2 linked regions of the Tribolium castaneum genome follow. The protein of the gene in region 2 interacts with the protein of the main gene of each other region in a pairwise test. Links are inferred from orthologs where the notes say so. Each region holds a gene or a part of one and is shown on either strand. Other genes may lie near its edges. The genes, in order: N-alpha-acetyltransferase 30 and Naa35.

Evidence for each region.
Region 1: the proteins of Naa35 (region 2) and N-alpha-acetyltransferase 30 interact in a two-hybrid assay, tested with the Drosophila melanogaster proteins (2 studies listed by BioGRID). The link is inferred for Tribolium castaneum from reciprocal best matches to the Drosophila melanogaster genes Naa35 and Naa30A.

Annotation. Positions count from the first base shown.
Region 1 is NC_087402.1:5,497,337-5,501,157, reverse strand, and holds N-alpha-acetyltransferase 30, read right to left. Parts: upstream 2,284-3,821; coding exon 1,618-2,283; intron 1,573-1,617; coding exon 1,255-1,572; 3' UTR 707-1,254; downstream 1-706. Other genes in the region: ESF1 homolog, read left to right, coding at 1-670; cytochrome c oxidase assembly factor 6 homolog, read left to right, coding at 2,864-3,121; Sbat (N-alpha-acetyltransferase 38, NatC auxiliary subunit), read right to left, coding at 3,398-3,709, 3,757-3,821.
Region 2 is NC_087403.1:266,768-271,120, forward strand, and holds the start of Naa35 (N-alpha-acetyltransferase 35, NatC auxiliary subunit), read right to left. Parts: upstream 2,926-4,353; 5' UTR 2,710-2,925; coding exon 2,693-2,709; intron 2,645-2,692; coding exon 2,562-2,644; intron 2,510-2,561; coding exon 2,361-2,509; intron 1,972-2,360; coding exon 1,748-1,971; intron 1,702-1,747; coding exon 1,557-1,701; intron 1,509-1,556; coding exon 1,331-1,508; intron 1,280-1,330; coding exon 1,098-1,279; intron 1,053-1,097; coding exon 980-1,052; intron 846-979; coding exon 745-845; intron 698-744; coding exon 557-697; intron 512-556; coding exon 336-511; intron 195-335; exon of another isoform or gene 194-194; coding exon 1-193. UniProt on the Drosophila melanogaster protein: Auxillary component of the N-terminal acetyltransferase C (NatC) complex which catalyzes acetylation of N-terminal methionine residues.

The sequences.
Region 1 (3,821 bases), on a different chromosome or scaffold from region 2:
AATGGAAGTGAGCTGGGGCATCGATTTGAAGGACAAAACCGAAAAGTTGGTAAAGAAGAAGATTGAAAATGAGGAAGAAAAGACACCATTCCAGAAATATCTCGATAAACGGAAAGAAAAACGCAAAGAGAAGAAAAAGAAGAAGCGGGAAAATGAAGATTCGGATGATGTACCGTCTGATATTGATATGAACGATCCGTATTTCGCCGAGGAGTTTAACAATCCCGAATTTAAGAAAAAGAAAGTTAAGGAGAAGAAATCTCAGTCGGAAGAAGAAAATAATCCTGAATTGGAGTTACTTTTGGCTGATGAAGATGACGATAATAAGAAGCACTTCAGTTTGAAGAAAATTCAGAAGCAAGAAGAAGCGACTAGTAAGAAAAAACGCAAACTCAAAGAAACAGACGAGAAGGACGATTTTCAAGTCGATGTTAATGATGATCGGTTCTCTGCCCTCTTTACGAGTCATTTGTATAATATTGATCCCACGGACCCCCATTATAAGAAGACGAAAGGTATGGAGAGACTAATAAATGAGAAAATCAAAAGGCGGAAAGACGATAGCGAACGTGAAATGACGGAGAAGCCGATGAAAAAAGATGCCGAGTTGAGTGTTTTGGTAAAGTCAGTGAAACGGAAAGCTGAAGCGTTGAGTAATAAGAAAAAGTGACTTGTAAGCAAATGTCTTTTTTATGTAAATAAACGGTCCTTATAAATTTTGGTATATTATTCAATCATTACAACACATTTTTAATGCTTTTATCATACAGTAAAATTATATACAGTTTTTACAATTACTGACAAACAATGTTCTATATATTAAAAAGAAACATTCATGTAAGCACACATCAGTAATTCTAGTTTAAATATTTTCCTCAGCTTATGTCAGTATGAAATTGTTACAAAAGCTCAGATATTTCGACACCCTGATTAAATGAACATCCAAAGTTACACATTCATTTATCTACACTTAAGTCATACAAAATCAACGTACAAAACCGATGGAGGTGGTGATGCGCAAGATAAAAAAAATTTCGAAGGAAACTATTTTTATTACTTTTTGGACTACATCTTTGGAAGACAAACAAACTCTAGTCCAGACGTCTGAATCGAACGAATTTGGCGTTTATGAGAAAAGAACGTACAACAAACAAACAACAAGAATAAAATTCTGAATATTCAACTAATTTAACAAACTCACACCATACCCTGAGCATATGGCAACAAATACAACCATTTCACCGATTAAGATCCTCATCTTAGCCACAGTTTCAGCCTCAGAGCATCGACGCCGTTTAAATAATATCGAAACAAACGTTTGTCCCGGACAAAGCCTAGGGCTTCATACAACTGCAAAGCCGGTTTATTTGTCACTTCCGTCTCGAGCACTACTTCGTCGGCGTCGCCGACGATCATCTCCTGGATAGCTCTCCGCACCAGGGTGGACCCAATGCCCAATTTTCGGTAGTTTTGGTCCACCGCCAACATCGCGATGTAGCCGCGCTTCAGCACTTTGCGGTGAGCGTCCAGCTTGCAGACGATGGCGCCCACGCAGTTATCCTCGCACATTGCCTGAAGAAAACCAAAAATATTTTGCGGTGAGTTTTGGAGACTCACCAGAAAGCAGAGTTTCGGCCAGTTGTGGATGAAGTACCGGTAGGTGTAGATGGAATAGGGTTCGGAAAGGTCTTTTTGGATAATTTTCATAATCATTGGCATTTGCAATTCGGATTCGTACTGAACGTACTGAATGGGTGGCAGCTCGCGCTTGGGCGCCAGCTCCACACCCTTCAGGTCCTCCACTATGTCTGATATTTTGTCGTCGCTAGAACTAGTTGCTTTATTACTACAAGACGCTATCGAGTCCTCGTTCGTAATTGTACTATTATTGCTTAAATTAAATGATACGTCTGATTCCTGACTGGGGTCTAGCATCTTTTCGTGATTCGAAATGTTGTCATTTGAATCTAATTTGGTAAGTTTCGACTTCAAGTCTTTGTTAATGCCCTCGTCTTCGCGCGCTTTGTCTCTTGAGGTTTCTTTCTGTGGTTTAGGTTGCGTACTTTTATGTGAATTTTCATTGTTGCTGGGGATTATGTGCTCCTTGCCGCTGCCTTTGGTTGAGTCTTGTGCATTGTTCACTAGTCCGTTCACCAAGCCGTTCTTCGAGTGCTTCTTTTTCAAATTCGTATCTTTCGCCTTTCCATTTAGATCATTTTTTGGTTCACAATTCGTTGAAGTGCACTTTTTTGATTTATTTATCTTATTACCGTTCTTGTTCATTTTCCCATTTATTTCTTGCTTTGCAAATAAATAATCTAAATGATAGCATAATACAAATTATTTTTTACTTTTGCTCTAAAATAAACTCGCTAAAGCAGACATATTGACAGAAAATCAACAGGGATTTTTAGGTTATTTCCACTCTTGCTGCTGTCAATTTTTTCTCTTTCCTGGAAGGAGAAAAAGGGCCCCCTTAAATTGACTCAACTGCGCGTATTGATCAGGTAACCATTTTACCACTACCCTTCACCAAAGTTACCCCACTCACCTGCCGCAAAGTTATTTAATTCCATTCAAACTTGGCCTAAACATAACCTAAGAAAATTGATTGACCAATGTCTGGTTACATAAAGCCTCGTTCCATTGGTACACATGACCCACGCGCCACTTTCGAAAAACACTTCAGAACACTTATTTATACTTTTCGCACGTGGGTCCCCTGCTTGCGTAAAGTGCGGATTTATTATCACGACTGTCAGCACGCTCTATTTTTAGAAAGGGAAATATTTTTAAATTATTTGATTCACTTAAACTCTCAATATTTTGCCAAAAATTTCCTATTAATTTATTTTATTCAGTCATGTCGTTCCCAACGAAGGAAGATCGCAACTTGTGTTGGGGTGCGCGGGATCGGTATTGGGAGTGTTTAGATAAAAACGGAATCATTGATAGTAAAGATGACAGAGGACCATGTCTCGAATTCAGAAAACTGTACGAAAAATCGTGCTCAGCTCAGTGGGTCAAGCATTTTGATCGAAGACGGAATTACCTACAGTTCAAGGAAAAGATAGAAAAACACGGGTACGAACCGCTTGATGAGAGAAGCCCAGAACATTAGCTTGTTTTGTTTATTAATTCTAGAATAACTGCTTTGTAAATATAGTTTCAATAAAACTAATCAGTCAGTAACACGTTTTTTTATTTCAGAATCCCAAACAAATCAACAGATGGTGTTAAAATATTCGAGAAACGAAGAGTTTATCATGACATTGCCTGTTTATAGCGTAAAAAACAGATTATATTATATTTATTTTTGCTAATATTTCATTTATTCACTTGCACATAACGCATTTTTTGTATTACACAATAAATAAAGCACTGCAAAGGTACAACTCTATGTAACTTCCTCTGGGTTAATGTCTTTAGTTAAGGGGGCACTTAATTCGCCTGCATTGTGCTGATTTAGATTAATTGCGACGCTCTGTATATGTTTGCCTGGTACCATTACCAAACCCAGCATCCTTGGTTCCTCAATTGTACCATCACCGTTATCCTCAGCTGGTAAATATTCAGTACAAGAACCTAAAATTACATTGGCGTCTCTGTCAGTGCACAGAAAGACACCGACTAAGACACGGCCATCAAACATCTGGATTCTGAGGGACTTGTTGAGCCAACTACGCAATTTAACAGCACCTGGGGACATCTGATGCGAACAAATTAGAGGAGTGGAGAAAATTGTTAAATTATTACGTTTAAAGGCTTTTGGGGCTTGTCCTCGGGGGGCGCCTGCTGCGGTATTTCTTCTGACTCATTTT
Region 2 (4,353 bases):
GCACATGTTCTGTAACGCCTGGTAATAAACAATGTCCCGATTGTAGGGCCTTGGTTTTCTCTTGTGTTTCGGTTTCTTTTTCGACGTGTTTTTCGACTTTTGTAACTCGTTTATGAGCTCGTTTTCGACTAGAAAACTATCAGCCCGTGAAAGGGCCGACACCAGCCACCCGTATAAAAACTCGTACAAGTACCTGAAACCGTTCAAATGCTAAGTTTATACTTATTATTCTTGTGGCGTTTAAAAAATGGGTAAAATGTTACTCAAGTACCTGAACTCGTATCCAAATTATTAATCAAATTGAATAATTTAACGAAAAAGAGCATTAAAATTACCAATAAATGTAGTAATATTCGTGCCTGCTGTAGAGTTCCAACTCGAACCCTGCCAGTAAGTACATAATCATAATTTTGAGCGTGTGGTACAAAATCCAAGTACCGAAACATGCCAAATGTGGCCGTGAGGTCGAATTGACCGATATATTATGTAAATAAGCGTCGACTCGTTCAGCCTAGAAAAAACAATTATTTCTTACTCTTAATAATCACACAATTACCTCATCTTGTAGATTAGTAAACTCTTCAAGTAAATGAGCCAACTTGTCTCTTTGTCTGGCCCTGTTGTGGCCACAAAGTTGTAAAAAACTAGCGAAAGGTCGCGTACAATGAGCCAAAAACGTCTCCACGTATTTTTTGGCCTAGAAATAGACAAGTTATTGACAAAAAAACAATGTTTTTACACTACTTGTTGGTTCGAAAGAATCGATTTTGAGACCAACGCAGGTGGGCATATGAACGTCTTCACTGCTTCCTTTAAAATGTCACGCAAGGCGCACGGGTTTGTCCCTATGACACATTCAAATAGTGGCAAAATTACGGAATAATTGACTGAAAATATTGTTTTTCATCCAGTTTTAGGTAATTTCTCAGCACTTTTGTGAGAACAAAATATTTTCAGTTTTAATAATTTTGGGGCATACCTTGATATAGTAACTGAAGAGCTGACCGAGACAGCAAACACGGACTAGTTTTACTAAAATCAATGAAGAAATCCTACCAAAAAAACTATAGTTGCGATTGATTTCCAAACCAACTTACTATAACTTGGTGTAGCGACGTTATTGACTGGATTTTTGTTATGGTTTTAAACCTGTCGACCATGTCTGAGAAATAGTTGAGGGCTTCGCCCCTCGGCTTAATTTTGGTGTAGCGAGGAAACGTTGGGGGTAACAATCGCTGGTTTATTAAGGGTTCAAAGCCCGGAATTAACTCGTTATCACCTAGTATTAGGATAAATATGATTTTTTTGCAACTTTTAATCAAGATTTAACCTGATTGGAGCCCCAAATCGACCGTTTCTTTCATGATAATTAATTGGTCAGACGCTGTGAGCAGCAGTCTTTGGCAGTCGGTGATGGCAGGGGGCTGGTCCTCGCGCCTCATCAGCGTCAAAGCTTGGTAAAACACTCGCATGAATTTAATGCGTGCGTGAACAGCTTGAATTTCACTCTTAAAAAAACAAATTTAGATAAAACAATTACAGGGACCTGTAATTACAGATGATTGTTTCGACCGAATTTTCCGATGTAATTCCTCTTCAACTTCGCGTAACATTCCGATAATTCTCTGTTCGGAGATGTCAGGATTGAGGTGGTAGCCGTATTGCATCGGTTGGAAGTCCTCTTCTTCGTAAACCATGGCTCTATGGCCAGAAAATGAAACACAAATTTGATTTCAGCATTACTCACTTGTGCACAAAATGCTTAATTATTTCCAATAGTTTGTACACCATGAGGCAGAAAGCTTTCATAGTCCTGTCTTCTATGCTGTAAGGCTTATGTAAATAAAGATTAGTGAAAACGGTTTGAGCCAACGAATGACCTTCTAACCACGAAACGATACAAGCCAGTGTAGTGTCAATAATCCCGATCATTTTTTCGTACGAGAAATCATCCAATTGCAATATACCCTCCTGTAACACAATAGCTAATATCGATTTTTGTTTAAGAACGGTAAAAAAAGAGCAAATTACAAAAAAAAACAGTAGAAAAAATTCGTTTCATAAGATCTTGAAGCACTCATTCATTCAAATAGCTAGTGGCTGACGCCACTATGTTTTTGAAGTTGAATTCGTACTTCAAGACTCGTCTTATAAAACTTGTTTCTAATATACTATTCAAGTATATTATATTATATATATATATTATAATTATTATAAATAAGCCGTTTATTTTGCGTTTTTTTGGTATTAGTTGCCCGTTTTTTTTAAGACGTGAGATGACATTACTATAACAGCAATCTGTTAACTTTATGTCGATTGTAGAAAAAATTATAATTTGGGAAAAAATCAAAGCTTGTAACCTCAATTGTCTGGCTGAGTGTCTTGGCTTTGCGCGCCCCCCTGTTACAAACCATCCCAGCGTCCATTTTGGGGTCCATCATCTCAATCGCTGACATGGCCTCAAAAAGCCCAAACAAATTGTCGTGCAATAACTCGCCCATGCCTAAGTCTGGAACTCTCATTTAACAAAAAATTGTTGCCTTGGTTTTGGTGCAAAATACCTATAACTGCATCCTTAAATTCTGAGGTTATGTCAGCCCATTTGTACATCAATATCTTATCTAAAGTTTCCCCGTTACATTCCCTGAAACGGAATTGCAACAAATGGGCAAATTCGGGAAGAAATACTCACGAATCTGAATATTCCATAATTTTTTAGGTGATTTGTCTGGGATTATGTGACTTCGCCGTCAGGTTGGCAACAACCCTTTTTGTTACTAATATTGGTAGAGTCCGCGAAATGACAGATCGTCCACGGTGGTAGGAGTGCGCAGAGACGAAAACTCGTCTCGGACGAGTCCAATCTTTAAATTAGGGGTGTTGGCAGAAAACAGTGGCGTGGCGTGTACTTACATGTGTAGGAAATTCGTCTTAAAGTTTAACATTTCAATATTACCAGTTATAGTAAAGATACCAGTAGAAACATTTTTTGCAATAAACGCGTTTTTACTCTTTACTCATTGTGTATTTTTATTTATTCGACCTCTCTGCTTTGTATTTCTAGGAAATCAAGTGTATTAGCATTAGATATGATTTTTACTATTTCATCTTGCAATTATTGAATAGAGGAAATTTTAACTACTACAAATTATGAATCTCAAACCCTTCTTGATCATAGAATAGTTTTTTGCTACGCCACTGCTCAATCTCCTCACTCGATGAAGTACGCATTGGCTCCGCCTATCGTGGTCGTTTACAGAGTTTCCGAGCTCTACCACTAATTTTCGCACTAAAATTTCACATTGCCAGTTTCTGTTTAAATATAAACATGCATTTTTATTTTTCCATTAACTGCATGCGAAACTTTTATAATTTTAGACGTTTATACACAAATACATTTGTCATAATTAATTTTTCTAGATCAATACTGTTCTATTTTGAATAATTCTGTGTATGAATGTTTCTAAATTTGACGGATTTGAACAGTGAATGTTTCTGGTTATGACCTGTTTTAGACGTGTGATGACGTCACATCCGAGGTTAGGTGTGCGGCGCAGGCGGCGAGGGCGGTTCAGTCGACAGCGAGCAGTGGTACGGGTCAGATCGCGAGCGGGAGCGGGAGGCGAGGCGAAGCGAGGTGAGTCGGTTTATTTAAATTATTGTGTATTGTGCGGTTTCGTTCAATTTATTCAGTTTGTTACTTGCCGTTGTCGCGAACGGACGTGTGTTCAAGCAAATCTAAATTTTCCGGTTTAAGTTTTCAATTCGGTGGCTAGTGATCGCGTTTGAGTGACACATTTTAAATACAGTAAATAAAATTATTATCAAACACTCAAATAATTTATTGCCACGTAATTTTGTCTTTAATTTCAATGAATGAAAGTGGCTTGCTCAAAATTTAATGCAAATAAACATTTTTTTGGTTTCATTTTTATTATTATTTTTTTTAATGCTACAAACGGTAGCCAACGTGGAAGCGATATGAAGGTAGGTGTATTTTATTGCTGTGTCGTATTTATTTATTTCACAAACCAATAATTTCATAAAACTTAAATGCAATTAAAATCTTTAAATGCGGTGTTGAAAAGTGATATTTTGAGTGACACATTTTAAATACAGTAACTATAAATAAAATAAAACACTCAAATAATTAATTGCCACGTAATAATTTTGTCTTTAATTTCAATGAATGAAAGTGGCTTGCTCAAAATTTAATGCAAATAAACATTTTTTTGGTTTCATTTTTATTATTATTTTTTTTAATGCTACAAACGGTAGCCAACGTGGAAGCGATATGAAGGTAGGTGTATTTTATTGCTGTGTCGTATTTATTTATTTCTCAAACCAATAATT